Linked DNA regions of Arabidopsis thaliana. The protein of the gene in region 2 interacts with the protein of the main gene of each other region in a pairwise test. Each region holds a gene or a part of one and is shown on either strand. Other genes may lie near its edges.

Region 1 (8,719 bases), on a different chromosome or scaffold from region 2:
TAAACCGTGAACCTGCTGGTCATGCCTTCCATTCTGCTGCGCTTAAACTGCATGGTTGTGCAGAAGAACCCACAGACGATGAAGGTGGTGATAAGAAAGTGGGAGATGATAAAGAGAAGGAATATGTTCCTTCATTCAACTCGTATGCCAACAAAGGAAAGAAGAAGTCTGGTACCCAGCAACAAGACCACTATGCGTTGTTGGGTTTGAGCAATCTAAGATATCTTGCGACGGAAGATCAGATTAGGAAAAGTTATCGTGAAGCTGCATTGAAGCATCATCCTGATAAACTCGCTAGTCTCCTTCTGTTAGAGGAAACAGAAGAAGCCAAGGAGGCAAAAAAAGATGAGATTGAATCTCGCTTCAAAGCGATTCAAGAAGCATATGAGGTATTGATGGACCCAACTAGGAGAAGAATTTTTGACTCCACTGATGAGTTTGATGACGAGGTCCCATCGGATTGCTTGCCGCAAGACTTTTTCAAGGTGTTTGGTCCAGCGTTTAAGAGAAATGCTAGGTGGTCAGTGAATCAGCGTATTCCAGATTTGGGAGATGAAAACACACCACTTAAAGATGTTGATAAGTTCTACAACTTTTGGTACGCTTTCAAGAGTTGGAGGGAATTTCCTGATGAAGAGGAGCATGATCTTGAACAAGCAGATTCCCGTGAAGAACGTAGGTGGATGGAAAAGGAGAATGCAAAAAAAACTGTGAAGGCTAGAAAGGAGGAGCATGCTCGAATCAGGACTCTTGTTGACAATGCGTATAGAAAAGACCCGAGAATTGTGAAAAGAAAAGAGGAAGAAAAGGCTGAGAAGCAACAGAAAAAAGATGCAAAAATTCAGGCCAAGAAGAAGCAGGAAGAGGACGCTGCTATTGCTGCTGAAGAAGAGAAAAGGCGAAAAGAAGAAGAAGAAAAGCGAGCAGCAGAATCTGCACAACAACAAAAGAAAACTAAGGAAAGAGAGAAGAAGCTCTTACGCAAAGAACGAAATCGTCTTAGAACTCTCTCAGCTCCTCTCGTGGCTCAGCGTCTGCTTGACATCTCTGAGGAAGATATAGAGAATCTATGCATGTCACTTAACACCGAGCAGTTGCAGAATCTATGTGATAAAATGGGAAACAAAGAAGGACTAGAATTGGCAAAGGTGATCAAAGATGGATGCAACAGTAGTAGAAATGATGAAGCCGAATCTAAAGAAAAAGTAAGTAAGAAGACCAACGGTGGCACAGAGCCTACAACCCGAGTTTCACAGTTAGATAGTAGCACTCAGAAGAAACAACCATGGAGCAAGGAAGAGATTGATATGCTGAGAAAAGGAATGATAAAATATCCAAAGGGGACATCGCGGAGATGGGAAGTTATTTCAGAGTACATTGGTACAGGAAGATCTGTAGAGGAAATTCTGAAAGCAACTAAAACAGTTCTCCTGCAAAAACCAGATTCAGCTAAAGCATTCGATTCTTTCCTCGAGAAGAGGAAACCCTCTGCTTCAATCACATCCCCTCTCTCCACAAGAGAGGAGCTCGGAGAATCTCTACCCACAATGACGACCACAACAAATGCAAAGCCCTCTAAAGAGACTGTTGTGGGGAAAAGCTCGAGCAGTCAAAGCTCAGACAACAATGGTGAAGTAGGTGGAAGTTCAGACGCAGATAGTTGGTCGACTGTGCAAGAAAGAGCTTTGGTTCAAGCTTTAAAGACATTCCCGAAAGAGACAAGCCAAAGATGGGAGAGAGTAGCTGCAGCTGTCCCTGGTAAAACGATGAACCAATGCAAGAAGAAGTTTGCAGAGCTTAAGGAAATCATTAGAAACAAGAAAACCGGAGTATGAGGTAAAATCATTTCGGAGTCCCATGAGAATTTTGGGTTTTAATCCTCTTGGGGCACCGTTACTTTGCGAGAAGCAAGACCTAAAACTTTTTTATTATTTGTAATGATTCATTTCCCTTTGATGTCTCTATATATTGAGAGTGCTGGAGCCACTATTATGGAGTATGTTGTTTTTTACATAATCTTATGTAACGTTTGATTAGCGTCTAGTTTCAAGTTGTGAAATAAAGCGCATCGCTCATGCTGCTGTGTCTCCGGTCCCAATTAGAGGTTGGGCTACAATAAGCCCTAATTTTGATTTGCTTCTTTACAATCTAAACAAAACCAATCGAGCTAGTATGATGGAAGTAGCAGGAACAAGAAATGAGTATATATAAATGCCTTCCAAGTATAAGAAAAATCAGGTGAAGAAAATCCAAATTTTTACCAAGTCCACAAATCTTCTCTCAACTATAACAAACCACCAAGTCATGTAAGCCAGGTGCATGAAAATACAGAAAGATTCAAATTGTGTGATATGGTTCATTTTGTTACAGCGACCAAACAGGAGGCATATTGGTCCATCCATAAGACCCGACGCCTCGTGGTGCTTGACCTGATGATGACCCAACAGTCACGTAACTGTTCCCAATGTCGTCACCACCAAGAAGTGCAAGCGCATCACTCATGCTGCTTGTGTCACTAACAATGCCATAACAGCCTTGGTCAAGCCAGCTCGACGCAAGTAAAACATCAGGCCGTGTTATATCAACTCTCTTTGGTTCCCAAACCTGATCCAACTCTTCTGTCTTTACAACATTCCCTGCAAAAGCTTCATATACGAAAACCAACACAGCTGCATAAGAATCAATATGGAACAAGAGTAGATAAGATACCAATCAACAAGTAACTTTGATCAACTCACCTGATGAAAAACCACCTGCACTAAGTTGCGAGGGACTTGTAATCTCGGAGCGACCCAAATACTTTTGGGAATCTTCATATTCTCCTGATTTGATCAGGTTTTCGCTGCCACGTGGTACATTCTGAGTAACATTGGTCGTGCAAGTAGTTGAACTGAAACTCTTCTGGGGTGATGACATCAACAAACTGTGCTTCGCACTAGTTTTGATCTTGGCCTCATGAAGTAACATATCTAGTAGGCCGGTGTCGCATGAAGAGAAACAATCTGACTCCTCTACCTGCGATGGTGGTGGAGATTGAATATAGGCATCAACAGAGTCAAGGAGATCTGAGTGTGGAGGTGACGGAGTCGTCTTCCACTGATCAAATGCACTAGTTTCTGAATATTGGAATGAAGGGAGCTCCAGCTTCACTGCCCCAAACAAGGGCTTAGAAGTAGGATGCATGCCATACGTAACTGTATGGCTATCAGGAACCATCATCATATGAGACGAATGTTGGTTTTCATAAGGATGATGATCAACATCACAAGGCGAGATACTGCAAGATCTGGGATTCTTCTGTACAGCCGTATTCTGAAAGTGTTCCGGCGATTGGAATTCATGCTTTATGTTACTGCTGCACATGGGAAACCGAGATCCAGATTCCCAGATTTGCTTTGGGGAAGGCAATATTGGTGGCATGTAGCTCTCATACCGGGAAGAACTTGCGCCAGTTCCTAGCATGTTGCATGCAACCAAATCTGATAGGTCAGAAGCGGCAGGTAACAAGCTAGCAGCAAAATTTAGATCGTCAAATAAGACATTATCTTTAGAATTCCCCAACTGCAAGAAATCTTGATGTCTTCTTCTTCTATCTACTCTTATGATATTACTCTTTGTATACTCTTCGCTCCAATGAAGGTCATCAACATAGATTTCAGGAGGGTAAAGTGGTAAGCCTGCTCGTTGTCTCCTCTTGATACGAGTGTTCCAATAATTCTTTATCTCATTATCTGTTCGACCAGGTAACTGGTAAACAAGAAGAAAACATCATACCAGAGATTAATTAGTCTTTAGGCTCACAAAGAATATCAAAATATGAAAATGGACCATGATCAGGTAGCTTCCGCAGTTACAAAACTACTTACATGTTCAGCCATCTGTGCCCATTTATTTCCCATCTTGGCGTGCATTTCAACAATGAGCTGTTCTTCTTCTTGGCTAAATGCTCCTTTCTTCAAGTTTGGCCTCAGATGATTAGCCCATCTCAGACGACAGCTTTTACCACAACGGGCCAGGCTAGTGTGTTTCTGCACAGCATTCCAGTTACCCTCGCCGTGCTTCTTTACATAATCAATTAAAATCCCGTCTTCAGTTGAAGTCCATGGTCCTTTCTTCAGGACACTTCTTTTCCCTCTACTTCTGCAGCCATTGCTAATACTATCAGGAGCTGGTGATTCATTATGGATGCTGGAGTGCATACCATCATCACTATCAGCAGTCGCCGTCGTGTAACTCATCTCTTTCTACTTAAAGCAAGACAGACTCCAGCAGTTCAATAACAATTTAGACATCAAGCTCCAACCTGAACCAATTAAGAGGAAAAAGAGACAAATTAATATTTCAGCCAGCATTCATGTAGTTATCAACAAAATAATGACATGATAAACTTGTAAAAGGAGGCGATAATTGAAAAATATGTCTAGTAGATTCATCATATCTACCGCTGAGATATGAGTTGATACTAGGCAACAACTAAAAGTCTGTAATGAAATTTCTACAGAACACTAGTGACACCATTTTGACGAATAGATTTCGTATTTGAATGAAAATCCAGAAATGGAAACCAGAAACTAGCTAAGCACCATTTTATAGCTCTGATACTTTGAAATGACTTCTGTATCAAATTCGCAATCTCTAAATCTTAGTTCCAATTTCGAATACTAATAAATCGATTTTCAATGAACCAGAAATTACGATTGAACAATCAAAATCCATATATACAAGAATCAAAAAGCAGCAACTAAAGGTACAACAAAGACGAACCCTAGCTGAGGTAAAAGTAAGCTCTATATTGAGTATCTAGCAATCTGAATACAATCAGCAAACCATAGACAAATACGAAGTCGTCGAGATCTACAACATGAGACGAAATCGGAGCTCGAGTTTGAGCTGAAGATATCCGATTTGGTTATCGGAAAACACACAAATCGTAAATTTGAATCGGAAAAACGTTAGCTAAAAATATCAAGCTCAACAACTGATTAGAGAGAATGAAAACAGAGATTGAAGATCAGAGATCCGTGGAAATGGATTCAAGAGCTAGTAACGGAAGAACAATCTAGAAGAAGAAGAAGAAGAAAATATTACCAGGAGTGGGAGAGAGATAACGCGGGAAAAAGCTCGAGAGAAGATATCTCAGAGAATCGACAGAGACAAGGATGGAGAAAGAGATCAAAGTAACAGAGGAAGAAGATTCATCAGAGCTGAACAGAAGTGGAAAAAAGAGATGAATTTAGAAATAAACATCAAAATATTAAAACTCTCCTCACTTAATTAATTATTTTGCTTTTTATTTCCGCGTTATAAATAAATTATAGAATAAAAAAAACACTAAGAATCCAATATCTTTATTAGAAAATCAATTAACTCAAAAAAAATCCCGTATCTTTTTTATCAATTTTAAAATTTTATAAAATTCAAAGATTTTAGGTTTAAAAATAATAATCGTAATATTAATATTTACGAAATGTATCATTTAAAAATAATTATGGATAAAGGTTTGGTATAATCGTATACGTCTTGATAAAAAGGAACCCACCAAACATAAATTGGAATGTTGTACTTTAATTTAATGATGTATAAATGAGCTTATTGACGTAGATACGTTGAGATTACGAGAATCCGCACTCATATTAACTACTGTACTAGTGTCATTCATTCTTTGTCAACTAATAGATTATGACAGTGATTCTCTAGCTAATCAGACGATTGGCTTGAATCTGTTTCATGTCACAGCTTCTTCACTATATAATATACATAGTAAATATTTGTTGTCAGAAGTATATAATGATGAATAATTTGGTTCTTATTAAATTATAAAAAATAAAAATTGGTTCTTTTTTTTTTTTTTTTCCTTGGGCTAAAAGCCTAAAACCCAAAGATTTTTAACTCAAATTGAGGAACTGCTATAGTAGGATCCACATGTGCCCATATTGATTTCGGCATCGAAGAAAAACAAAAAATTGGGCTTTAAAAGTGGATCTTCATCATCCATGAAGGTGGTATATCAATTCATCTACCGACATTTGTATTACAAAATATTATTGAGATAGTAGTAACCAATATGTTAAAATTCAACCATAGCACTGTTTTCCATCTAGTTAACAATTAGCTAAAGCCTTTGAGGAAAGAGGAAGGTGAGCGAGCGCGTGGACCTCGTGATCCTGAATAGCTCACGTATTGTTTGTGGCCTGAATTCTGGTTATGTACATAAATAATGTTGTATGAAGATAAGTACAGGCCTGACGCAAGCCCGACAATACAAGAAAAATGATAAAAGAGAAAGATGATAAAAATGCTAATGTACCATATATATGATCCATTGCACCAAACCCACAAAGATAAAAAGGTGCTTTCGGCTTTTTGGCTTATGTTTTGAGACTCTAGAAATAAATATATTCTACTAATAAGTGTGGTAATGTATTGTTCAACATATATCTTTCAACGCTGCCGAATTTGAATTCGAATTATGTTTATTTATAGTCTTATAGAAACTATTTGATTCAATCAATTAGAATACAAATAATTGGTTTTTAAAAAGAAGTTACATAAAGTATGTGAAGAAAGGGATGGAGGGAATAATAATATAGAAATATGGAAAGCAGTGTAACTTGGTAAACGTACGAGGAACGTAAAGAGATCAGTTCCACTTCTCCGTGTCTCACGCTTGTCTCTTCCCTCTCTACCTTTTCTCTATTTCGTTTCACACCTTTTATTTCATCTTAAAACTTGCTCACTAGTAAAAGAAATTCTGACGATTTTCAGCAAACCATTACTGATGATTAGTGTTTGATCTTTAAATTCGCTGACTAAATAGTTGGAAATTTATTTGACGGTATAACTAAAAATTATCTAACCAAATCAAATATTTAAAATCCACCATATAGAGTAACGAACTTCGACAAACTTAATACATTTCGATGGATTCTTTAGCATGAGTGATCTGGTAATTTGATATCATAGTTGATGGCTTGAACACAAGATAAAACGATTTATACAGTCTTTTGTAGACTAACAAATATCTATATATGGGTACGGTTATGGCAAATGATATGGTTTGAATTGAATATGGATGACAAAATTGGCCTCTATTAGACGTTTGTACTTTGTACTAATGACCTGAGTATCTGAGATCTCAGTTAACGTATTTTTAATTTGTTAATTATATATATTTTATGCACATCATTGGAGAAAACACCAAATAGGCTCTTCTTTATCGCTTCATATATATAAAAGTCTACATCTATCTCTTTCTAGGTCACTAGCTAGACTCTAGATTAAGGATTGAAATTAGGGTTTCATGTTTCCAGCAAAATGGTGCCGTCTTGAGTCTTGAAAAGATCCAAGACAAAACCAAATCACTACATACATCCCTATCATCAACCAGCTACTGTTCGCTGTTGGAGCATCATCAAGATTCACAAATCATCAAGTATTCGTGTAAATAAACCCATTTATGATTAGATTTTTGATGTATGTATGAGAATCTTGATGATGCTGCAGCTGCAATCAGTGGCTTACACATAGAAACAGGTTTGTGTTGATTGGAAATTTCATAGTCCAATCTTTTTGTAGGAATTCACAGATCGGAGGTATTTCTTGGATATAGCTCGAGAACTTTTTGGTATGTTCATTTTCTCTCTATCTTGAATTCTTGTAGATGTTTTGAACCTCTCAAATGATCTTAGCTTTCCGAAAAAAGAATCCAAATTATTTCATATGATCCTAATTTTTTTCTGGTTCATATATAAGTAAGTATCTCTAGATCATACTGATCCATTATTTTAGGATTTTTACTTCTCTCAGCTTTCATCATAATTTTTGTTTTCTGATGACTTCAGTATATATGTTTGAGTAGATTTAACGACTATATGTTATAGTGATGCATTCTTGCTGTGTATTTTGATTCAGATCTACCAACAGATTTTTCACATTGAATTTTATTGTTTATAATTCCATCTTCCCAAAATGCCAATCTCTGACTAGGCTCCAAATGGTAAAATTAGTGGGTATTGCAAGAACTTAATTTTACAGATAATCGTTTGACAATCTGATATATTAAACTTTAACAGAACTATGATTTTGTTTAATTTGGAAGAACATTTGTGTGCCTGTTACTGAAAATGCATACGAGTAAGGTATGTCGATAATGGTTGTGGCCGTTCTTTATATCACACGGATCTCACATTTCTTTCTTTGCAACATCTTGTACACTAAAACCTGCAAAATGAGCTATAACTATAAGGTTCAGTTTACCGCATGTGAAACAGATGGAGCTAATGTATTCGAAGCTATTTTTACCACTTATTTCCATTTAGTGCTTCTGTATTCTGTAACTTAATATATTTTGCTCTGTTAGCTAGGATCCCATATAAAAAGCACGCCAATCATGTCTCCAATGTTCTCCACAGCATTTTCGCCTTATCTTTTATTTGAACTCTTCTCTTTGGCAATCAATTTCTGACATTTGTCATTTGGTAACAAAGTTATTTAAATACCTACTCCTGCAAACCGCTAAAATAGTTAACCGAAATCAAAGATCAATTCCCATTACATAAATACGCTTAGTTGATGTCAGAACTTAAAGATATATTTACCACTCGTAACCCTAAATGTTTTGAAATTAGTAGGATAACACACTCGGACTCGGGACTTTTATTTTTCAGAATACAATTTTACTCCTTACAACAAAAGATATATATATAGGTTTAGGAGAAAT
Region 2 (6,814 bases):
CATCGTACCATGTGATAACTTTACAATATGGCACCGGTTCCACCTCTATGATTTATATCAACCACAAAGATTGTCAAAACTATATATTGATAATACGTCTTAGATTAATAAACTAATGATGAAAGAAGATTAGCATTTTTATTTTACCACAACGATGCTTGCGATGTAAATTTTATCAAGAAAGAAGAAAATAGTTGTAACAATCGATATCATTATATTGCTTACCACATTTGACATGGCTTATGTCGAGGAACATGAAAGTACAATAAACCACAAACAAACTAGCAAATCTCATGATTGATAATAAAATTTTACAAAAGCTTTTGTGTTTTCTTTAGTCTTGTAATGATTATAGTTTTTATATCAACATAAACAAACAATAGAAATTTATATTAATTCAGACCAAAAACGAAAAACAGGAGATGTGTGGGGGCAAATGGAAAACAATGAGATAACAAAGCTTAATGGCTATCTCTATATATGAATTAGATTATTTACTATTTAAATTGCTTTTTATTTATTTCCTTTGAACTAATTAGGGACATCTTAAAATCTTAGGGAAATAAATCTATCTATATATACTAATATATCTCTCTAATTAGAGAAAAAAAAATGACAATCAATTGAAGATCTTCAACCAAAACTACAAGAATTACAACAACCTTTCTTATATAAATATTAATAAGGAGAACTTGCAAGATCAAGTCTAGTCTCGCTTTCAAAAGCCCATGAAAACAATTTCAACATAGCCCATTTTCGTAATTCATTTGGCCAACTGTACTAACATGTTCTCATCAGGCCGTGCAAGACGGCTTGGCGAGTGCAGGTGAAAAATACATCATTCGTGGCGCCACAATACCAACACAACTGGTGAAACACTATAGTTAGTATTGGGAAGTTGTTGCACATGTAATTATCTGACACTCTGTTTTAGTATAAATCGTTTTCCTTTTTGATTTATCTTATTGTGTTTAACTTATTGTAATCATGATGTTAATATAGATTTCTCTGATTTATTTTATTCATACGGTGGCATGATTCATCATCAGACTCATAAGTATTTGAACCATCTGCCTAAAAAGATTTACATTATAACTAACCTTTGATTGGTGTAAGGAGATGATACAGAAGTGACTTTAAGATGGAGACGATACATAAGTGACTTTGAGATATGTTCTTTAGCATTAAACCTGTTATTCAGCTATGAAATAAAACAATTGTTAGTTATAATATCTATATTAAGGTGAATATATATTTTTGTATTAAATTAGATAATGAACTCTTATCTTCTTCTTTTTTAAAAAAAATAATAATATTAAATTAGATTAAAAAAAAATAGCGTTTTTACAACGAGTGCAACGTATAACAGTAGATTGAAATCAGAATGTAGAATGAATAAGCTTTGTGATTACTTTGAAGCCAGCATTGGAAGCAGGCCTCATATCAACTGTCCTTCTGTCGTTGAACGGTCCTTCTTATCTTCTTTTTGTTGATAACAGTACTTCAGGGAATGAATTCCCAAAGCTTGAATATATTCATCTATGTACAATCATCTAAAGATTAGACAAATTGTTTTGCAAAACAATCATCTTTGTTCTATAAAGAACAACCTACTACAATTAAAATTATAAGTTTCTTTTCTGTATTAAAAATACTGGAAATAAATTAGTTTTAGAATCGGAATGGTCAATCGGTTTAAATATATCCATGGGGTTACGATTCATATTTAAAATGAAACTATATTTACAAACATCAACAAAGAATCAAAATCACTTACACATCGATTGACCCAAAAGTATATTCAACTTGGACCATTAGCGGAAGCTATTGACATGTAGAACCGATTATAATCAGATCATGTTCTTCAAACTGAAGGAGAATTTTGGTTTCCAATTTGGATAGGAGAGAATTAGTTTCCAATTCATCAGTTAGATAACTTTTTCGAGTATTTGTTATTAATTAATAAATAAAATGATGCAAAGAAATTTAAGAAATAATAATGTTAATATAAAACAAATCTAATTCAAGAAAACCATATAAAATACAAAATAACATTAGAATACATAATCACGGAAACTTTACGACTAATTAACATTAGATTGAAAATTTTAAACTAACTCAGAATATTTTAAATAAAAATATTATTAAAAATAAAAGAAAAAAAGAAATAAGTTTTAGTTACCATGGGACGAGTTTATATGTGAGACAGATTTATATGGTGAGATGAGTTTGGATGAGAGAGATTTTTTGTTTGTCTTTTAAAAAACAACACTATAGTATATCAAAATAAGAGTTAATCTTCTTTCACACCTCTAAATGTTAATCTTCTTTCACACCTCTAAATGTTAATCTTCTTTAACACATCTAAATATATAATTGTAATAAAAAATTATTAAATTACCTATGTTCTAAGGGTAAAATTAAAAAATATAGAAATTTTAAATTATATAATTTAAAATACAAAAATTTGTGAATAAAACATAGGGTATACGGGACATATACTAGAAGATAAAATAATATTAGACTTACTAATATCATAAACTTATGACTTAATAAAAACCGTACACAACTTTATCAAAAATTATTAATCAACACAAACAACAATAGACATTGTACACAACAAATTCTTCATTTTGTAAAAATTTAAAATAAACAAAAAACTTAACCCTTGGTGTACCACGGGTCACATTCTAGATACGTATAAAATTAGGAGATACACACTTTGTATATAGATGCGTATAATATATATGCTTCCGGAACTATACAAAACCATATAGAAACATACTAATATAATCACTAAGTGTAAATAGATATAAACAATGAGTTTTGATAAATTGAATATCTAAGATCATTATTTAAATATAGATGATATTGAATTGAAACATTAAATTAATTCAAAACGAAAATAATCAAGCAGCAGTGTACCGCAGGTCAATATCTAGTTTGTTACATTAGCAGTAAATAGTCATACTTTATTTCATTATCTATAAAAATTGTACCCAAAAACAAATTTAGTTAGAGAAAGCGAGATAAATGGTAATTGTTGGTGTGCATATCAATTGAAGATTTCAGAAATTTTGTGACCCAATTTCAATTTTAATCCGATTCGCCAATGGTATTTTGGATAAATACTTTGAAAGACCAAGGTTTTTTGCCAAATATTCCAGAAAAAAAAACTAATATATATTTGATAGGTCTTATCCATTTCCAAATCTTGAAAATTGGACGCAGATGGGAAATATAAAAAGTCATTTCCAAAGTCTTGAAAATTGGAAGCAGATAGGAAAAGTAAAAAGTTATTTTGACCGTTTTCAATTGTCATTATCTTCTCTATATAATCCACCATCCTTTACAACCTCAAATATACGTTACATTATTGATATGGCAACACAAACCAACCAAGACCATTTCTCTGGGGACTTGCGAAGATCTTGGCAGAAAATTGGCAAGTTGACGTACGGCTCAAGGCAGTGGATAGTGATGATGGTTCAATTATCTCTGCCCAAAAAGTTATTCTGGTCTCTTCTTTTTTCATCTTCTCTTTATTGATATCATCATCTTATTCAAGAATCAATTAAATTTAGAAATGTTAATGTTTAGTGAGTGTTCCTTTTATGTGAAGTTTTTTTTTGTTGGGTTGGTGTGGTTATTGTAATGATTCTCTCAACAAGTATGTTTGGGATTTGAATAGGCATCAAGATCGGCGGTTTTGAAGAAGATGCTAGAATCAGACGAGTTCAAGACTTCGGCTAAGCAGGTGGGAACAATCACTCTCTTAGAGATGAAACAAGAAGAGCTAGAAGCTTTTGTTGAGTTTCTATATAGTGATGGTTCTATGCTTTCTTCGAAAGTGAAGCAACATGCTCGGGCACTCTATCGTGCGGCTGACAAATACGAGATTCTCCGACTACGAGAGCTATGCAGATCTGAGCTTATATCTTCTCTGAATTCGACGAATTCTCTTAACCTTCTTGAGCTCGCACAAATCCCTTTTGACAAAGTCCTCAACGATGCAGCCCTTAGTTATATTAAAACAAATGAACTTATGTTTCCTAGCTTTGATGAGTTCAAGTTGTTCGTTGATAATTACCCAAATCTTGCCGTGGAGGTAATGATGGCTTCTCTTACTCGGACTCCTAGTACAAGCTGTTCTAGGTGTGGTCTCATAACCTATCATAATCAGACTGGTACAAGCTGTTGTAGTTGTGGTTTTGACTATCCTCGTCGCAGCTAGATGAATCACAATGTAGTTTTTGTCGTATCAAATTAATAAACCATTTTTTATCGTTTTTGTTTCCAAAACTTACCAAGTCTCGTATTAAAATGATCGGGTTTTAGATTTATCTTTGTCTAATATTATTACATCTCTTTTCCTATGCATGCAAAAATAAGAAAATATATCGATTGTAAACCCAAGTAAATTGTTCATCTTAAAGATATTAGACTATGGGTACCAGTGCCCTTTGACTAGAAAGCGTTTAGACCATCTCTAATGGTGGTTTTCTAAGGGGCTTTAAATGTATGAGTCCGTAAAAAAAAGCTCAAAATAAATAAAAAATGCCAATATTGTTAATAGACATCCTTAATCTTAGGAATTTTTGGAGTGAAAAAGACTCATATGTGGCTTTTTCTAATTGGTCCGTTTACTGGAGTGAAATGTGTTAACCAACTTAAATATCCAAAAACTCGAAAAACATCCACCGATGTTCTTAACTAGCTAGGCCAATACAACGAATTTTCCCCTATAACGATTTTGATTATTAGAAAAAATATAGTTAAGAAAAATATAAGTAAGTATAAAAAAGGTGATTAATTTCGTTTATAGACATTTCAAAATGATCTATGGTAAAGTTGAATATCTATGAAACGTTCCAAAATTTCCCCTCACTAGTACATTTACAAATGAAACAAAATACAGAACCAGCTTATCTATATTCTCTAACTAATGTTGAGTTTAGGAGCATAATCACTCATAAGCCAACTTTTTTTTTCTCCGTCGACCGATATTAATTATGCAAAAAAAAAAAGTTATTTGTAACGAATATTGTTTACATAGGTAATATGATGCGGTTCGACACGAATTTTTTGGTTAAAGAATCCGTTTTAACATTTGCAGTACGAAAAATTAAAAATAAAGAAAAACGCCAACTTTTGTGTGAGTCATAGCAAAAGGTCTTTGTGGGTTTAGTTTGGGCCCAACTCCTATCATCTAAACCCAAGCACATACACAAATTTACCTGAGAATTTAAATTCCTTCAACTGGACCTTCTATCACCGTCCGGCTAAAAAAAAAAAGAGCTTTTGCAGACCAGCTTAATACCAAATCTGAAATCCCTGTACTGCCTTAAGATTTCATCACTTTGAATCTATTTTTCAATAAGTAAAAAAGGCGGTAAAAGCTCGTATAGAAAGTGAAATACTTCAGGTGATACAAACAAGATATAACAATCAAAAATACAACAAGCTAATTGAGTCACTAAGCACATAACAAGAAAGCAATCCCTCAATTATATTACCACCTTTACTTGGAAGTCTCTAAAGTTTCATGGAGATGCACTGCTACTGCTGTAACGATACATAGTGGCAAAATCCAAACATAAATGTCGGTCCCTATCATCGCCCCAACCTCCCCAACCTTCGAAACCGGCTTTATAACCCGCTTGATGCTTATACACCCGAACTCCCCATCCTTCTTTTATGTTCACAACTTTATCTGTTTCCTTAACTTCTATGTTTACGACCCCATTATCGATGCAATCACCCTCATCTCCTCTACCTTGATGCAACCCACATTTTCCAAAGTGTACCGCACTAGTCCTAGGCCCTCGCAATGTGTACACCGGGGAACCAAACGACGGGAAAACCGTTGCCCACATCGTTATATCCCAGTTGTAATCATCAAAGAAACAAAACTCTCTTGCCTTCTGATGAATATTCTCCCACACACTTCTATTAAAAGAATACCCAACATTTCCCATTCTCTCTGCAACCAAACTTTCAAGCCCTTCTCCTCTTGACTTCACATCAGACGGTGCTAAATTAGCAGCAAAACAGTCAGGACACTTTGCGGGTTTCAGCCTCGTAAGAGTCTGTATGTTACGATAGGCATTAGGAAACAGAAAATGATCTTCTTCAATGAAAAGGATATGCCCCTCATGTCCTTTAGTCTCTTCCAACCCATCCCATACAGTGTTCATCATCCACCACCAGTGATGCTTCAAAGATACAATCTTCGGAGACCGATGATTCCCATACTGATCAGGATTACCTTCACAATGCCCCTTTGCCTCATCACCCTTGTTCTTACAATCATTCAGGGTCACACCCGGGAAGCTAGTACGATATATATGAGGCGAATAAGGCGAGAAAATCTGTTTCACTTGACAAAACTTAATACTCTCCACAATCCTATTCATCTCTTCAAAGTAACCATCATGACTAACAATCAACAATGTCTCACTTATACCTTTAACCTTCGACAAACTTTCCACTGTGACTCGAAAATACTGAGCCCGATTATGCACATACAAGACGATAACCACACGATCTTTTGCCAAATCCGGGAACAGATCCGTATTTCTAGGCGAAAAATGGTTCCTTCTATGCAACCTTAGAGACATTCTATTACCTCTAGCTACACTTAGCAATGAAGCATTAAGCTTAGCTTCCAAATCTTTATCTAAACCATCCAAATCATCGTCAATAGAAGAACCATTCAAAGCAGTTCTAGGTACAGACACCAACATCAGAACTATAGACAAAGTAACAGCAAATAGAATCCCTAAACGACATAAACCTGTATCTCTCAATCTCT
Region 3 (6,430 bases), on a different chromosome or scaffold from region 2:
CATATGGAGTTTGTTAATTATCTCACCAAGACAAGTTACATTAATGCATCTTTTCCAAATGGTAGAGACAGAACCATGTGAACTCTTGCTCTAGTTTGTCCCACGCTTCAAGACCAAGAGTTTCAATGATTTTTTCAGAGAGGCTTAACTCCTTCATTGATATTTCTATATATACACACATAAACCCATTCTTTCTATCATCAACCAACAACAAGCAATATATCCAATAACTTGAATCTTTTCATTCATCTTCAGATTTGCTTAAAAAAGAAATCAAATTTTCAGACAAATAGAGAATTATAAATGGCTCTGGTGAGAAGTCTACTGGGTGCAAAAAAGATTCTAAGCCGCTCCACCGCAGCAGTCTCGGCGGCACCAAAAGGGTTTCTTGCAGTGTACGTAGGAGAGAGCCAGAAGAAAAGATACTTAGTGCCACTCTCATACTTGAACCAACCTTCTTTTCAAGCTCTGCTCAGTAAATCTGAAGATGAGTTTGGGTTTGATCATCCGATGGGGGGCTTAACGATACCTTGTCATGAAGATACGTTCATCAATGTGACTTCTCGGCTCCAATGATCATGATCCAACATTTTGTTTTTCCGAGTTAGATATAGACTTAATTCATTGTAAATAGCTTTTTTCTCTTTCTTCTTGAAAGAGTACTTGTTCTAAAAGTTTAGAGAATGGATGCCATTTTTGTGCAACCGACACGACATGTCAATACATTTTGGAATGATCTTTGAAAACTAAAGACCACACCATTTGAAGAACCTTTCATTATAGTTAAATCATGGTTAGAAAAGTATATGTTTCCCTGTTTATCATCCGGATCCATGCCTCAATGGTAGCACGTCGAGTTCAAAATCCCGATCACTTTCCGGAAATCTCTTGTTAACCGCTATCTTCAGATTACCCCAATATCTAGCTAAAGATATTACATAACGAAATGCTTGCAAGTGCAGTTTCAAAGACATGCAAGAAAATCCTTTTGGTGCCATTGAGGCTTCCAGTAATCTTTTTTGCTTACATATAAGACTTTCCATCAAATGCAATTCTTAAATTTTATAGATATAATTTATCCAAGAAGTAGCGATCAACATCTCAATTCTTGACACAGATTAAAGTCTCATAAAACAAACTTAACTTGAGACCACAAACAGAGTTTCACAACAAGCATACGGTTTTCAAAATACATAAAACAGAAAATAAGTCTGATAAAACATTCTTAAAATGAGACCAACATAGAGAGGTTCCACAACTAGGAGATACTTTCCAAGATCTCAGCTCTTGTTTAGTTGATAGATAAGCGTGGGATACAGAAGTCAACAAGCAGACCTGTTGGCTCTTTCACCTGAGACTCCTCGCCACCACCAAGCTGGACAAACATACGGCTCAAACACACTTTGACAAATGAAGTCTTCTTCTTGTAACATATCTTCACAGTAGCAACAGTTTTTCCCTCGGACTTATTCACTGCAACTATGATGACATCCCTAAGTCCAACATAGCGTGATTCCTTACGAGACAGGCTAGACAGGCCCTCGTAAACTCCCTACCACACAAAAAAAAAAGGTTGAATAAGATTAGATCAAAACTTTGTCATTGATCTTTGAAAATTTCGAAATTTATCTCACAACACTTTACCTCTCCAACATTATCAAGGTCTGGACTGAACACATGGAGTCTTGCACCCACCGGTTGTTTAATCAACAGCTTAAACGCTTCATCCAAACTCTTAGTCTCAATCACTTCTCCTTTCATGGGCACGCGGGGTATGTGACAAGCAAATGGGGGAGCCTTGAATGTACATCCCACATGTGCCCAATGTTCTCTTCTCGGTAGCCCTTTCTTGAAAGCACATTCAAGGCAGTCTTTGACAGTGAGTGGTTGCTCCCTCTCCCTGCACATCTTACCTCTTATTCCAGACATTTTCCACCATATACTGATGCAAGTTTTCGATAGTGAACTGAGAGCTTGGTTCATCCATTTCTCCCTGGTCGTCTTCCTTCCCAGCATTATCCACCAAATACTGAGCTGAGACGCATCTGCAAGACAAAAAAAAAATGAAAATGTTGTAGTCAATTCATATGACTCTTTCAAAGGATTAGACTATATTAAAAAGGGAGTAAACTACTATCAGCTAAAATCAATCACAGTATCTCTTAACGATGCGAATAAAGTAATGTTCTCTAGAACAAGATTTGATTCATTTACCGTAATCTTCTTGCTCACTACTTGCTTTTACGCAATCTGGATGACAGAGGCCACGCGTCTTTGCCATAGATTGCATGAATCGCTGAATCATATTCATCTTCGATTACTTATCCCTGGTTTCAAGTAGAATCCAGCAGAAGAACACATTCAGAAATCCAGTAGAGTCAAGCAGATAAGGCAAAAGGAAAAACAAAAACAAGACCTAACTAGCGAAAACCATAAACATGGTTTCAAGTTTTGACATAAACACAACCATTTCTAGTTGCAGAGGAAAAATCGTCGAACAAGAAGCTTTAGAGTAAACCAAAGTAACAATGATAGCTTCCATTAACAAAGAACAACTCTAACGTTAAAAAGGATTCAAATCATTCATCCAAAAAAAAAAGTTCAAACCCTAAAGTTTATCTCTGTTCACTAATAGCACTGAGAAAGGCCAAGTCACGGAGTAGAATCGGTAACAAATCCAAAACAAGCTAAAAGAATCCAACAGAGAGAGAAAATTGAGAGAAATTACCGGAGACACAGAGAGACGAGAATCAGAAGGAGAAGACATTCGCAATCGCCGTCGCGTCGAGAGAAACTCAGAGAATGTTCGCGAAACAAACTCTCACAGTCGTCGCGAAGATTTCCCCTCAGCTTTGTCCCGAAACGTGTCGCCTTTTTAAGACTTCAACTTTAGTCCTCAAGACGACGACGTTTGAAACTTTCCTTAAAACGTTGCCGTTTTTATGACATTGCCAATGTTTTTAAAAGTCTTTTTAACAACATCGTTTTTGCCTGTTTATTTAAGGGCAACAATTATAGTTTAACAACAATTTTCTTTTAGGCTCCAATGATGATGATCCAACATTTTGTTTTTCCGAGTTAGACATCGACTTATTCGTTGTAAATAGATTTTTTCTCTTTCTTCTTGAAAGAGTACTTGTTCTAAAAGTTTAGAGAGTGGATACCATTTTTTGTGCAACCGATCACGATCATGTCAATGCATTTTTTGGAGAGCAAGAAAATATTTGAGGCATAAGCTTCTTCAAGTACTAATACAAGTATCTCTCCATATCAGAAGAGCAAGAAATCTTCCAGTCTTTGAACATTATTTAGATAAGTAAAAGAATAATCTTGTTTTTTAGTTTGTAAAAAGATATAAGACAAAATAAGTTTAAAAAGAAAATAGTAGACAAAATATCATACGCTAAAACCAACATTACAAATTTGAAAAGAAAAAATGTGATATTGGCTTACTTATCTAATTTTAAGAATATTGGCTTTGAATTACATGGATATATTTCCTTTTTAAAGAATCGTTTTCCTAATATATTAAAAATCCTTAAAATCCACATATATATACGAAATCACCTTTTCTATTTGTCTACCTGAAAGTTTCAAGTCTTCAACGCGTTTATTATTGTTTTTCAGTTTTGCTCTAAAGATCATTTGTTGTTCCCCTTGGATTATTGCTATAATATATAGATCCTTAACTTTTTGTCTGATTTGCGTTTTCTTTGTCTCATAGAACAAGAAAAGAATATGTCGATGGTTAAGTACTACGATAAAGAGGAACATGTTGGGTTTTGGTTTCATCCTTCTGCCCAAGAACTCATCATCCGTTATATCGGGCCTAAGGTTACCAAAAGATCAAATAAAGAATTTGAATTAGAAGACAAGTTTGACATCTATGCCAAAGAGCCGTGGCGGTTGTCTCACACCGAGACTAACTTTTTGGAACCTAATGAATGGTTCTAGTTCGTGAAAGTGAATCATCTCTCTGAAAACGTTACTGGAAAACGCATCAGCCGCAAAGTCAAAGGAGAGACGGTTGATGGATGTTGGAAAGGCCATGGGAAGTTGAGTGATGTCGTGTTGGAAGATACCGGTGCAGTGATTGGGAAGAAGTCTAAGTTTCTACGTCAAAGGTGAGAGACAAGCCAGTGGTTGGACCATGACAGAATACTATCTCGAAAACGGTGGCTCATTATTCCATGTTCAAGTTCTCTGCCACCTTAAAGGACCATGATTATGTGTCTTGGTAAATTTTCAGTGAAGAGGATAATAACTTCTACTTCTATCTTATTTTACTTCAATTTTGTGTCTAGTTTGATATTTCCCTTTGCATAATTTATTTAAATTCCTCATAAAAACTTTAGGAAAATCTCGTATATTCTTGTTTATTTAAAGACATGTAGATCATTATTTTTATGAGGAGTTTGTAACTGCTCACCTTCTTGTTTTCACAAACGAAAAAATATTTTCTTGTTTTGAGGATCAAAGAGATTATCTCATCTAATATATGAGATATTAATAATGATCAGGCCCATCCATGCCTATGAAGGAAAAAGAGAAACTTTGGCCTACGAAATGGATAAGAAATTGGTTAAATTAATGGGAGATTTGCAAAACTATATTTTTTGACTACCTTTTTGCCATAATACTCTTTTATATTATTTATTTTTAAAAATATCTTTTTTCTTGAACAGAATGACCAAATTACCCTCATTTAATAATAACAAGTACTTGGAAACTTTCAATTTCCCGCCAAAAAAAAAAATTCCGGCAAACTTTTTTTCCCGCCAAAAAAAAACTTTTCCGCCAAAAATTTTTCTCGTAAAATTTTTTTCCCAGCCAAAAAATGCTTTTAAAAAACCTTGTAAATTTTTTAAAAACTCTTTAAAAAACCTTGTAAAGTTTTCTAAAAGCTTTGGTAGTTGCTAAAAACCATTGTAAATCATTTTAAAACCTCTTAAAATCTTTATAAAGTCTTTAAAAACATAGGTAAATACTTTAAAACACCTTTTTAAATCTTTGTAAATCATTTTAAAGCTTTTTACAATAGTTTTACAAGATTTTCAATCGTTTTTAAGCATAAATAAGAAGCATTGAATGATTTACAAGGGATTTTAAAAGCTTATAAAAGGGTAAAACATGATTTACAATCGTTTTTAAAGCATAAGTTAGTGGCATAGAATGATTTACAAGGGATTTTAAAAGTGTTTGTATGGTTTACAATCGTTTTAAAGCATAAGTAAGTGTTATTGAATGATTTACAAGGGATTTTAAAAGGGGTTAAAATGATTTACAATCGTTTTTAAAGCATAAGTAAGTGTCAAAGAATGATTTACAAGGGATTTTAAACCTTTGTAAATCCTTTTAAAACTCTTATAAAGTCTTTACAAGCATTTTTTAACTTTTAAAAAAAAGAATTGTAAGTATTTAAAACATTTATAACTCTTTTTGAACCATTTTAAATCTCTTGTGAACCTTTACAAAAGGTTTTAAAAAGAGTTACAAGAATTTTTAAAAGTTTTTCTTATAAATTCTTTTAAAATATTATAAAAACTCTTGTACATCTTTTAAAACTCTTTAAAAATCCCTTGTAAATCTTTTAAAACACTTTCGAACCCTTTAAAAATCTTTTAAAAACTCTTGTAAGTCTTTTAAAGCCCTTTAAAATCTCTTGTAAATCTTTTAAAACCTTTTTAAAATCTCTTGTAAATCTTTTAAACCCTTTTAAAATCTCTTGTAAATCTTTTAAACCCTTTTAAAATTTCTTGTAAATCTTTTAAAACCCTTTTAAAATCCCTTGTAAATCTATTTCCTGCCAAAAACAAAAATTTTACGGGAAAATATTTTCGAAAAAAAATTTGGCGGGAAATTTTTTTCAGAGAAAATTTTTAGCGGGATTTTTTTTCCGAAATTTTTGGCGGGAAAAATGTTTTTGAAAAAAAAATTTGGCGGGAAATTTTTTTCACGAAATTTTTGGCGGGAAGTTTTTTCCCGAAATTTTTTGGCGGGAAATTTTATTTTAGAATGTTTTAGGCGAAAAATATTAATACTTCATTTTATTAACCTAAATCAATTTACAAATAGGGGTAAAATGGTCATTAAAATTTAAAGAGGGTATAAATGAAAATAGTAAATAGAAAAGGGTAAAATTGAAAAGAGATAGTGTGAAAAGTGAATTAGAAAGAATTTTTCTAAATTAAGACAGTGGGTAAGAAGATTAATAATGCTCTCACTTGATTTTAGAAAGTATAATTAAAATAGTTATTCAGTCGGCGTTGTCCTTTATTTTTCCGGTAATCGATCCAAAATGTATTAACATGGACCATGATCTCGTGTCTATTGAATAAAAAATGGCATCCACTTTCAAAACTTTGAGAACAACTCTTTCAAGAAGAAAGAGAAAAAGGAAAGAAAAAAATCATCTATTTACAAGGATCAA
Region 4 (8,405 bases), on a different chromosome or scaffold from region 2:
TTTTTGTTTTTGTATTTCTCATGTTAAATTATTCATCTCTTATAATTATAAATACTAGTGAATGATTAGTTGAAAATAAAATTTACATTACAAATAAAAATGTTATTACGACAAGCAATTGATTTAATTTAATTTATGAATATCTTTTATTTTAGCTGATTATGATTTTCTGACGCTCCTCGGAGTGACGTGGAAATCACGCTCCAACATTTACGGGGGTTGTTACGTATCGCGTCGCTTTAGATTTGTGGGTTGCTTATTGTTTAGGGATTGTTTATTAGTTTTCCGGTTACTATCCATTTGCATCCAAATAACTCAATAAACCTAAGTATGACTCACTTGTAGGAATATTCAGTAGATGATGGAGAATATTTCAATAATAAAACCATTTCTGACTAGAATTAATATAAATCAATAGAAGGACGTAAACATCACTCAAAAAATGATGATCGATATTAGAAGAAACTGTAGTGGGTACCAAGAAAATTAAACATACTTGTCGTCGGCACAAAATATTTTGGATTGTGAAACTATAATGCCTTGTTTTAGAAAGATGTGAGAGAATATAAAAAAACTTATGTGTTATTCAATTATAGAGAGATGAAATTCACCATATAAAACTTACATGTGTTATCATCAGTAATTACAATTATACACATCAAGAAAATTTCTATATTTTTCTAACTAGGAAAATTGTACTTCAACTGTTGATTTCATCATTGATCTAGAATATCTAATTACTTTTACTATCGTACATATTAAAATCGGAGATATGATGAATCGAAAAGATTAAAACTATATAAATTTTTATTTTTGTAAACTTTCCTACATGGACATACATTATACTAAAATTATATAATATGTAATGTATGATCGTGCATGTTTAAAATTCAGCGTTTCACACGTGTAGTTTGGGACAACTTCGGCGTTTTTTTGGTTGAGTAAGATGACATGTGGCTCGACATTCATAACTATTGTGAATAAAATAAATTGATTTATGTAATGATTGGACACATTTGATGAAGTGGTTTCTTGAAAATAAGACTTTGGATGGATGCAGTGTGGACAAACCGGTATAATTTGTTTGCGGTTTAGTTTATCTGGCAGACAAAAAACCGTTGCAGACCAAGTTTATTTGTATGTAAAAATGGTCTGCAGATGGTCCGTTGCGGTTTTCTTCTATTTTTTTTAGATCACTACGAACTATAATTAATAAATAATAAATAAAAAACGGTATGATCCGTTGACGGTTTTATCCGCCCCAACCGCCATAACCATTCAAATCCTAAATAAAAACGGTTTTGATAATATAAGAACCAGCCCAAAGATGAAGTTATATATGTGACTATGTTAACACACATTTATAGTATGAGTTAACCTAGACCTATTTGCGTCTCACTTCTTATTAAATGCTAAAAATTTACCAAAAGGACGCTATTCATCACAATTAAGTTTAAATCTCTAAATTAATTGATCGTTTAAGTTTTTAACCAAACTCAAATAAATAAAAAAATATACGATAACTTTTATTGTGACGATCGAATATACTACCATCAAATTTTATACCAAATTTCTGTTTCGTAGCATGTACGAAAATTTTCACTCCAAAAAAAATCTAAAAATTATATTTACCAAAAACTGTGATTTCAGAAAATTATGTGATTTTAAAGAACCAGTGATTTCTCAAATTATATTATATGAAATGATTATTATTATTTTAAAAAGGTGAAAGGGTGAAGCAAAAAAATAGTGTGCATAAACAAATAAGCTAATTTGTTTTCTGGTACTTAGGTCTTTTAAATCCATATAAATAAATTCTTAAAAGATTGTTTTATTTCAAATCTTTAACCTAAAATTGTAACTTTAAATTCATGATTAAATTTTTTGTTTTCAATAATTTCTCGTAACTTCATTACATAAAACGAGAAGGATTTATAATAGGTAAAGGCGTGAAGCAAAAAATAATTGTATAAATAAATAAGTTAAATTTGTTTCATAGTGCCATAAAATTACACTAACATCTGAACGTGAAACGCACGCGCTTCTTCATATCATAGATACGTTGCGTCTTAAAACACAACACGTAGCAACTCTTTTTAAAAAGGAAAAATACATTTATTATTCCCAACAATAAAAAAAATCAAACACAGTCGAAGAAGGCAACGACCTTTCGCAGCCGTCAGATCTTAATAAATACAGTCGCCACTAAAATTTAACGACATAGATCGAACCATGACGACCTACTTTCTTTAATTAATTTTCTGTCGTGACCTAATCTTCTATTTGTTGTTTCATTAGTCACTTACTTTTATATTTATTCTTTCTTAGGTCTATGTGGACCAAAGTGATTGGAAAAGAAAAAAAAATACATTTTTGTCAACCATAACTAAATTATCTTATTTTCTCAAATGCACTGTTTATTATGTAGCGTACTGATTTATTAAATACTTTTGCTTTCTATGGTTAATTTATGATGTCGGATTTTTATCTTTCCCCCAATAATAATATCACTATAGAAGAAAGTTTACAAATTCTTAGTTAAATCAAAAAAGATTTTATCAGTTGATTTGATTATACGAGGTGACATCAATTTTTGTCTTCTTTAACAAAAAAAATCAATTTTTGTTTTCTTTAACAAAAAAAATCAATTTTTGTCTTACTTTTTAATTAGCATTTAGAAAAATATTTAACAAATAAAAGTTCTCATAAGCGATTTTTAAAAAAATGTTTTGTTTTTACTATCTTTCAGTTTTTTTTTTTAAATTAATTTTCTAAAAAAACACATATATTAAAAAACATATTAAAACTAATTATAAACATATTATCTTTTGTGATTTATATTTTTTTATAATTCTAAACCAATGATATTCAATTATTTATCTTAAAATTAAAAATTTATCAATAATAACTAATAAATAATGTATAGAAAATTTAAAAATTATTTTTTTTAAAACAATTTTTTTCCTCTAAAAAATTAAATAATAAGGAATAGAGAAGGAATATTTTTTTATCTAATAAATTCCATATAATAATTCAATTATATTGATAAATAGGTTGCAAAAAATAAGAAAGAATAAATATGAGAATAAATGGTCATCTCTCGATCTCTCAGCTCTGTGCAACTCTGAACACACCCACACATATATACTCAGATACATACATACACACCACAAAAACCAATTATTTTCCAATTTTAAGAAAAGTTTCTGTGTCTTTTTTTTTTTTTTTGGTGATAATTGAAACATATGAAACAATCGTCGTCATAGAAGCAGCAGAGATTCACCTTCTTTCTTTATCTTTCCCTCTCAGAAACAGGAAACAAAATTCAAAAAGAACAAAAAAAAAAAGGTCAAACCAAAACGATGGCGTTTCATCACAATCATCTCTCACAAGACCTCTCCTTCAATCATTTCACCGACCAACACCAACCTCCACCTCCGCAACCGCCTCCTCCTCCTCCGCAACAGCAACAACATTTCCAAGAAGCACCGCCTCCTAATTGGTTAAACACAGCGCTTCTTCGTTCCTCAGATAACAACAATAACTTCCTCAACCTCCACACAGCCACCGCTAACACCACAACCGCAAGCAGCTCCGATTCTCCTTCCTCCGCCGCCGCCGCCGCCGCTGCTAACCAGTGGCTATCTCGCTCCTCCTCTTTCCTCCAACGAAACAACAACAACAACGCTTCCATAGTCGGAGATGGGATCGATGATGTCACCGGAGGAGCAGACACTATGATTCAGGGAGAGATGAAAACCGGCGGTGGAGAAAACAAAAACGACGGCGGAGGAGCTACGGCGGCGGATGGAGTAGTGAGCTGGCAGAATGCGAGACACAAGGCGGAGATCCTTTCGCATCCTCTTTACGAGCAGCTTTTGTCGGCGCACGTTGCTTGTTTGAGAATCGCGACTCCGGTTGATCAGCTTCCGAGAATCGATGCTCAGCTTGCTCAGTCTCAACACGTCGTCGCTAAATACTCAGCTTTAGGCGCCGCCGCTCAAGGTCTCGTCGGCGACGATAAAGAACTTGACCAGTTCATGGTATATAAATTTCAGATTTTTTTGTTCTATAATTTTATAATTAACGATTTCATAATTATACTTAGCACAAATTTTAATAATACACACCGACTTAGGTTTCTTGATTTTTGAAATCTTAAAATATTAAAATCAAGATTTGTGTTTTTAGGGATAAACAAGACTAAAATCCCAAAAAAAGAGCTTATGATATAATAATGGTCATGATGATGAAGAAAATACAAATTTTGTTCTTTGTGTTTATTGTGTGTTTGATTAATGTTTTTTTTATGGTGTAGACACATTATGTGTTGCTACTGTGTTCATTTAAAGAGCAATTGCAACAACATGTGCGTGTTCATGCAATGGAAGCTGTGATGGCTTGTTGGGAGATTGAGCAGTCTCTTCAAAGCTTAACAGGTGAGAAAATGAATCCTGTGATTAGCTCATGAATCCAATAGTTAGTTTTATGACATTGACAAGTTTTGTGTTTTATTGGTGAGATTAGGAGTGTCTCCTGGAGAAGGGATGGGAGCAACAATGTCTGACGATGAAGATGAACAAGTAGAGAGTGATGCTAATATGTTCGATGGGGGATTAGATGTGTTGGGTTTTGGTCCTTTGATTCCTACTGAGAGTGAGAGGTCGTTGATGGAAAGAGTTAGACAAGAACTTAAACATGAACTCAAACAGGTAATAATCAACAAACTTGTTCTTTGAACTAGTTCATGAACTAACAATGTAGAGGGCTTTGTCTTGTTGATGAAAAGGGTTACAAGGAGAAGATAGTAGACATAAGAGAGGAGATATTAAGGAAGAGAAGAGCTGGGAAGTTACCAGGAGATACCACCTCTGTTCTCAAAGCTTGGTGGCAATCTCATTCCAAATGGCCTTACCCTACTGTGAGTTCACTCATCTAACATCTCTTTATAACTTCTTCAAGTTCATTCATTGAGCCATAACCAAATATTGGTTTGTAGGAGGAAGATAAGGCGAGGTTGGTGCAAGAGACAGGTTTGCAGCTAAAACAGATAAACAATTGGTTCATCAATCAGAGAAAGAGGAACTGGCATAGCAATCCATCTTCTTCCACTGTATTGAAGAACAAACGCAAAAGGTATTATTATACTTTAATATAGTCTTGTAACATAACCGAAAAACTTATGGATCGGACTCAAAGAAGACTGAAACTTTTGTTTGTCTGATGAAAGCAATGCAGGTGACAATAGCGGAAGAGAGCGGTTCGCGTAGAAACAACAAACATATGATGTGAATTGGGGAGGTGGAAGATGGGATTTGAAAGCAGGGTTTTAGGGATTTAAAGTTGAGAATTTTATGGAGGAGTTTGGATTATACAGAGAGAGGGGACAGTATTAGAAAGTAACTTTTTGTGCAATTACATAGTAACGTAGTTTGGTTATGTGATTATGCCCATATATTTTATTAAGTAGCACACAAACCAAAAAGAAAATATGAAAACTGAAGATGCAGGCTTTTGTTTAATGTTTTTTGTTTGTTTGTCTGCATGAGTTTTTTTTTTATGAACCATCAGATAATCATCATCATCATCCATAATATATCTTGTGAATAAAGATAGTGAGAGAGGAGAACATTGGGATGCACAAGTTTTCTTAATCTACTAGTATATGTTACGCATTGACCAGGTGCATATGTTAATTTGTATCGCACCACTTGGTTAGCTTAATCTATGTGACTATTATACAGTATATGTTTCGCATTAACCGTACTTAACCCATCTTATGATTCTTATCCGCTTAGTTCGTAGTATTTATTGCGATGTCACATTCCAACTCGTGATATTGGCTTGATAAGTAAAAGACATTATACATGGTAGATGACGACAAAAAATAAAACATACCCCATCTTACATAACGTAGCTTGCTGCGTACTTTTGTAATTGTAATAATTTGAAACGTGTTCTTTTTTCTAGTCAAAATTGTTTGTTTATCCTCATCTTGTTGTTTCGTTTGTCACGTTTGTGATAGCCACAAGTTACTGTAAGTTTTCGGCGAGATTTTTCTATCGATCACGGAGAGATTCTGCACACATTAACAAAGATAATTAGAGTGTCCTTAAGTATTTTGGTCGCCTCTCTATTAGAGGACCATACAAAGTTCAAAGACTAGTCTCATGAGAAGCCCATTAGTACATTAGATTAAATCTAGGAAAGTAGATTCATATAAGTAGTTTTGTAATGAACATCAAAGTTGTTAACTTAGAGAATTGTCATTTGGATTGTATAAATGGTTTGATAAACGAAGTCTAACATTAGTATGTGTTAGTCTTCTAAATTCAAATAATAATCGGAGTTTTGGTCTCTTGGACGATGCTTCACAGTGATATTCAAAAGTTTACCGTTATCACCCACCAACTAGAGAAGCCAAATTAGGTCTTTTACCAACTGTAGGGTAAAGAACTGTCTTCATGTAATCATTATAACCACCACCATCTTGTTATGCTTTGTTTCTTCTTCAAATTGCAGCTTTCAATATACAACCCGGTTTACGTTCTGGTTTACACTTTAGACGTTTCAATTTACAAAATTGGGCCGATTGACAGATATTGGACCTGGCCCATCAATCTAAAAATGCGCTATTTTGAATCAAAGACCTATTTAAATCTTCCGACGACGACTCCGTTCACATAGCAGAAACAGTGGCGACAAACCCTATCACGGAGCCAACCCGCATTTTCCTCTAGCTTTCGCACCGCCTCTCGCTCTCTCGCCCCACCGGTTCGTCTCTGACATTTTGTGCTTGATTTGGCCGTTACAAAATTCTGATTGCTAGTTCATGAGATTCCTTTTTGACAGGTGACATAAAGATGGATGGTAGCTTGTATGGTGAGTGTGGTAACTATATTGGACCTGAGATTGAATCTGACAGAGATAGTGATGATAGTGTAGAAGATGAAGATCTCCAAGAGCCTGGGGGTTCTAATGGCTGGATTACCACTATCAATGAGAACCAAAATATTGTTCTTCCTGAGGATAAGAAGTACTACCCTATTGCTAAGGAGGTTTATGGTGAGGATGTTGAGACCTTGGTTATGGATGAAGATGAGCAGTCTCTTGAGCAACCCATTATCAAACCCGTTAGAGATATTAGATTTGAGGTGGGGGTCATCAAGGATCAAACAACAACGTATGTGTCAACACTGTTTCTTATCGGCCTCATGTCTAATCCTGCGCTTGTGAGGAATGTTGCTCTTGTGGGGCATCTCCAGCACGGCAAAACTGTCTTCATGGATATGTTGGTAGAGCAGACGCATCGTATGTCTACTTTTAATGCTGAAAACGACAAGCATATGAGATATACGGACACAAGAGTCGATGAGCAGGAGAGAAATATATCTATCAAGGCGGTTCCAATGTCTCTTGTCCTTGAGGACAGTAGATCCAAATCATACCTGTGCAATATCATGGATACACCTGGAAATGTCAATTTCTCTGACGAAATGACTGCTTCTTTAAGACTTGCTGATGGTGCTGTTTTCATTGTTGATGCTGCTCAAGGAGTCATGGTAACTAGTCTTTACTCTCTCTTTTTTCAAGTATACTATTTGTAGTACTAACGCTATTAATCTTTTTTCAGGTAAACACAGAGAGAGCTATACGGCATGCAATCCAGGATCATCTCCCTATTGTTGTTGTGATCAATAAGGTACATCATGCCTAAAGTGTGAAATTTTATATTTTCATACATTTGCTTGACCTTTGCTTTTTGTCTGCCCAACAGGTTGACAGGCTCATAACTGAGCTCAAACTACCTCCAAGGGATGCTTACTACAAGCTGAGGTATACAATTGAAGTCATTAATAACCATATATCTGCTGCTTCAACAAATGCTGCAGACTTACCTCTTATAGACCCTGCAGCTGGAAATGTATGTTTCGCCAGTGGTACAGCCGGATGGTCCTTCACATTACAATCTTTTGCTAGAATGTATGCCAAGCTTCATGGTGTGGCCATGGACGTGGATAAGTTTGCATCTAGACTTTGGGGAGATGTATATTATCACCCTGATACTAGGGTATTCAATACAAGTCCTCCAGTAGGTGGTGGAGAAAGAGCATTTGTTCAGTTTATTCTGGAGCCTCTATACAAGATATACAGCCAAGTGATAGGTGAACATAAGAAGAGTGTAGAGACCACCCTTGCAGAATTAGGAGTGACTCTGAGTAATAGTGCATATAAGCTGAACGTCAGACCTTTACTTAGGTTAGCCTGTAGTTCAGTGTTTGGTTCGGCATCAGGGTTCACTGATATGTTGGTAAAGCACATTCCTTCACCCAGAGAGGCTGCAGCTAGGAAAGTGGACCATTCATACACTGGAACCAAAGATTCTCCCATTTATGAATCAATGG

Evidence for each region.
Region 1: the proteins of AT2G05330 (region 2) and MYB65 interact in a two-hybrid assay, tested with the Arabidopsis thaliana proteins (one large-scale study listed by BioGRID).
Region 3: the proteins of AT2G05330 (region 2) and AT5G18037 interact in a two-hybrid assay, tested with the Arabidopsis thaliana proteins (one large-scale study listed by BioGRID).
Region 4: the proteins of AT2G05330 (region 2) and KNAT3 interact in a two-hybrid assay, tested with the Arabidopsis thaliana proteins (one large-scale study listed by BioGRID).

Annotation. Positions count from the first base shown.
Region 1 is NC_003074.8:3,598,575-3,607,293, reverse strand, and holds MYB65 (myb domain protein 65), read right to left. Parts: upstream 5,259-8,719; 5' UTR 5,089-5,258; intron 4,946-5,088; exon of another isoform or gene 4,765-4,945; intron 4,411-4,764; exon of another isoform or gene 4,304-4,410; 5' UTR 4,239-4,303; coding exon 3,867-4,238; intron 3,748-3,866; coding exon 2,739-3,747; coding exon of another isoform or gene 2,713-2,738; exon of another isoform or gene 2,646-2,712; coding exon 2,365-2,645; 3' UTR 2,122-2,364; downstream 1-2,121. Other genes in the region: AT3G11450 (DnaJ and Myb-like DNA-binding domain-containing protein), read left to right, coding at 1-1,835. UniProt on the Arabidopsis thaliana protein: Transcriptional activator of alpha-amylase expression that binds to 5'-CAACTGTC-3' motif in target gene promoter. In vegetative tissues, inhibits growth by reducing cell proliferation. Promotes the expression of aleurone-related genes (e.g.
Region 2 is NC_003071.7:1,936,038-1,942,851, reverse strand, and holds AT2G05330 (BTB/POZ domain-containing protein), read left to right. Parts: upstream 1-3,381; coding exon 3,382-3,486; exon of another isoform or gene 3,487-3,518; intron 3,519-3,691; coding exon 3,692-4,234; 3' UTR 4,235-4,275; downstream 4,276-6,814. Other genes in the region: SCRL15 (SCR-like 15), read right to left, coding at 1-45, 226-295; AT2G05320 (beta-1,2-N-acetylglucosaminyltransferase II), read right to left, coding at 5,544-6,814. UniProt on the Arabidopsis thaliana protein: May act as a substrate-specific adapter of an E3 ubiquitin-protein ligase complex (CUL3-RBX1-BTB) which mediates the ubiquitination and subsequent proteasomal degradation of target proteins.
Region 3 is NC_003076.8:5,968,837-5,975,266, reverse strand, and holds AT5G18037 (NAC (No Apical Meristem) domain transcriptional regulator superfamily protein), read left to right. Parts: upstream 1-3,700; 5' UTR 3,701-3,738; coding exon 3,739-3,954; 3' UTR 3,955-4,166; downstream 4,167-6,430. Other genes in the region: SAUR22 (SAUR-like auxin-responsive protein family), read left to right, coding at 304-576; AT5G18040 (target of trans acting-siR480/255 protein), read right to left, coding at 1,292-1,552, 1,645-2,045, 2,215-2,311.
Region 4 is NC_003076.8:8,732,846-8,741,250, forward strand, and holds KNAT3 (homeobox protein knotted-1-like 3), read left to right. Parts: upstream 1-3,098; 5' UTR 3,099-3,362; coding exon 3,363-4,043; intron 4,044-4,318; coding exon 4,319-4,439; intron 4,440-4,527; coding exon 4,528-4,712; intron 4,713-4,789; coding exon 4,790-4,921; intron 4,922-4,999; coding exon 5,000-5,136; intron 5,137-5,230; coding exon 5,231-5,270; 3' UTR 5,271-5,756; downstream 5,757-8,405. Other genes in the region: AT5G25230 (Ribosomal protein S5/Elongation factor G/III/V family protein), read left to right, coding at 6,864-7,562, 7,634-7,702, 7,778-8,405.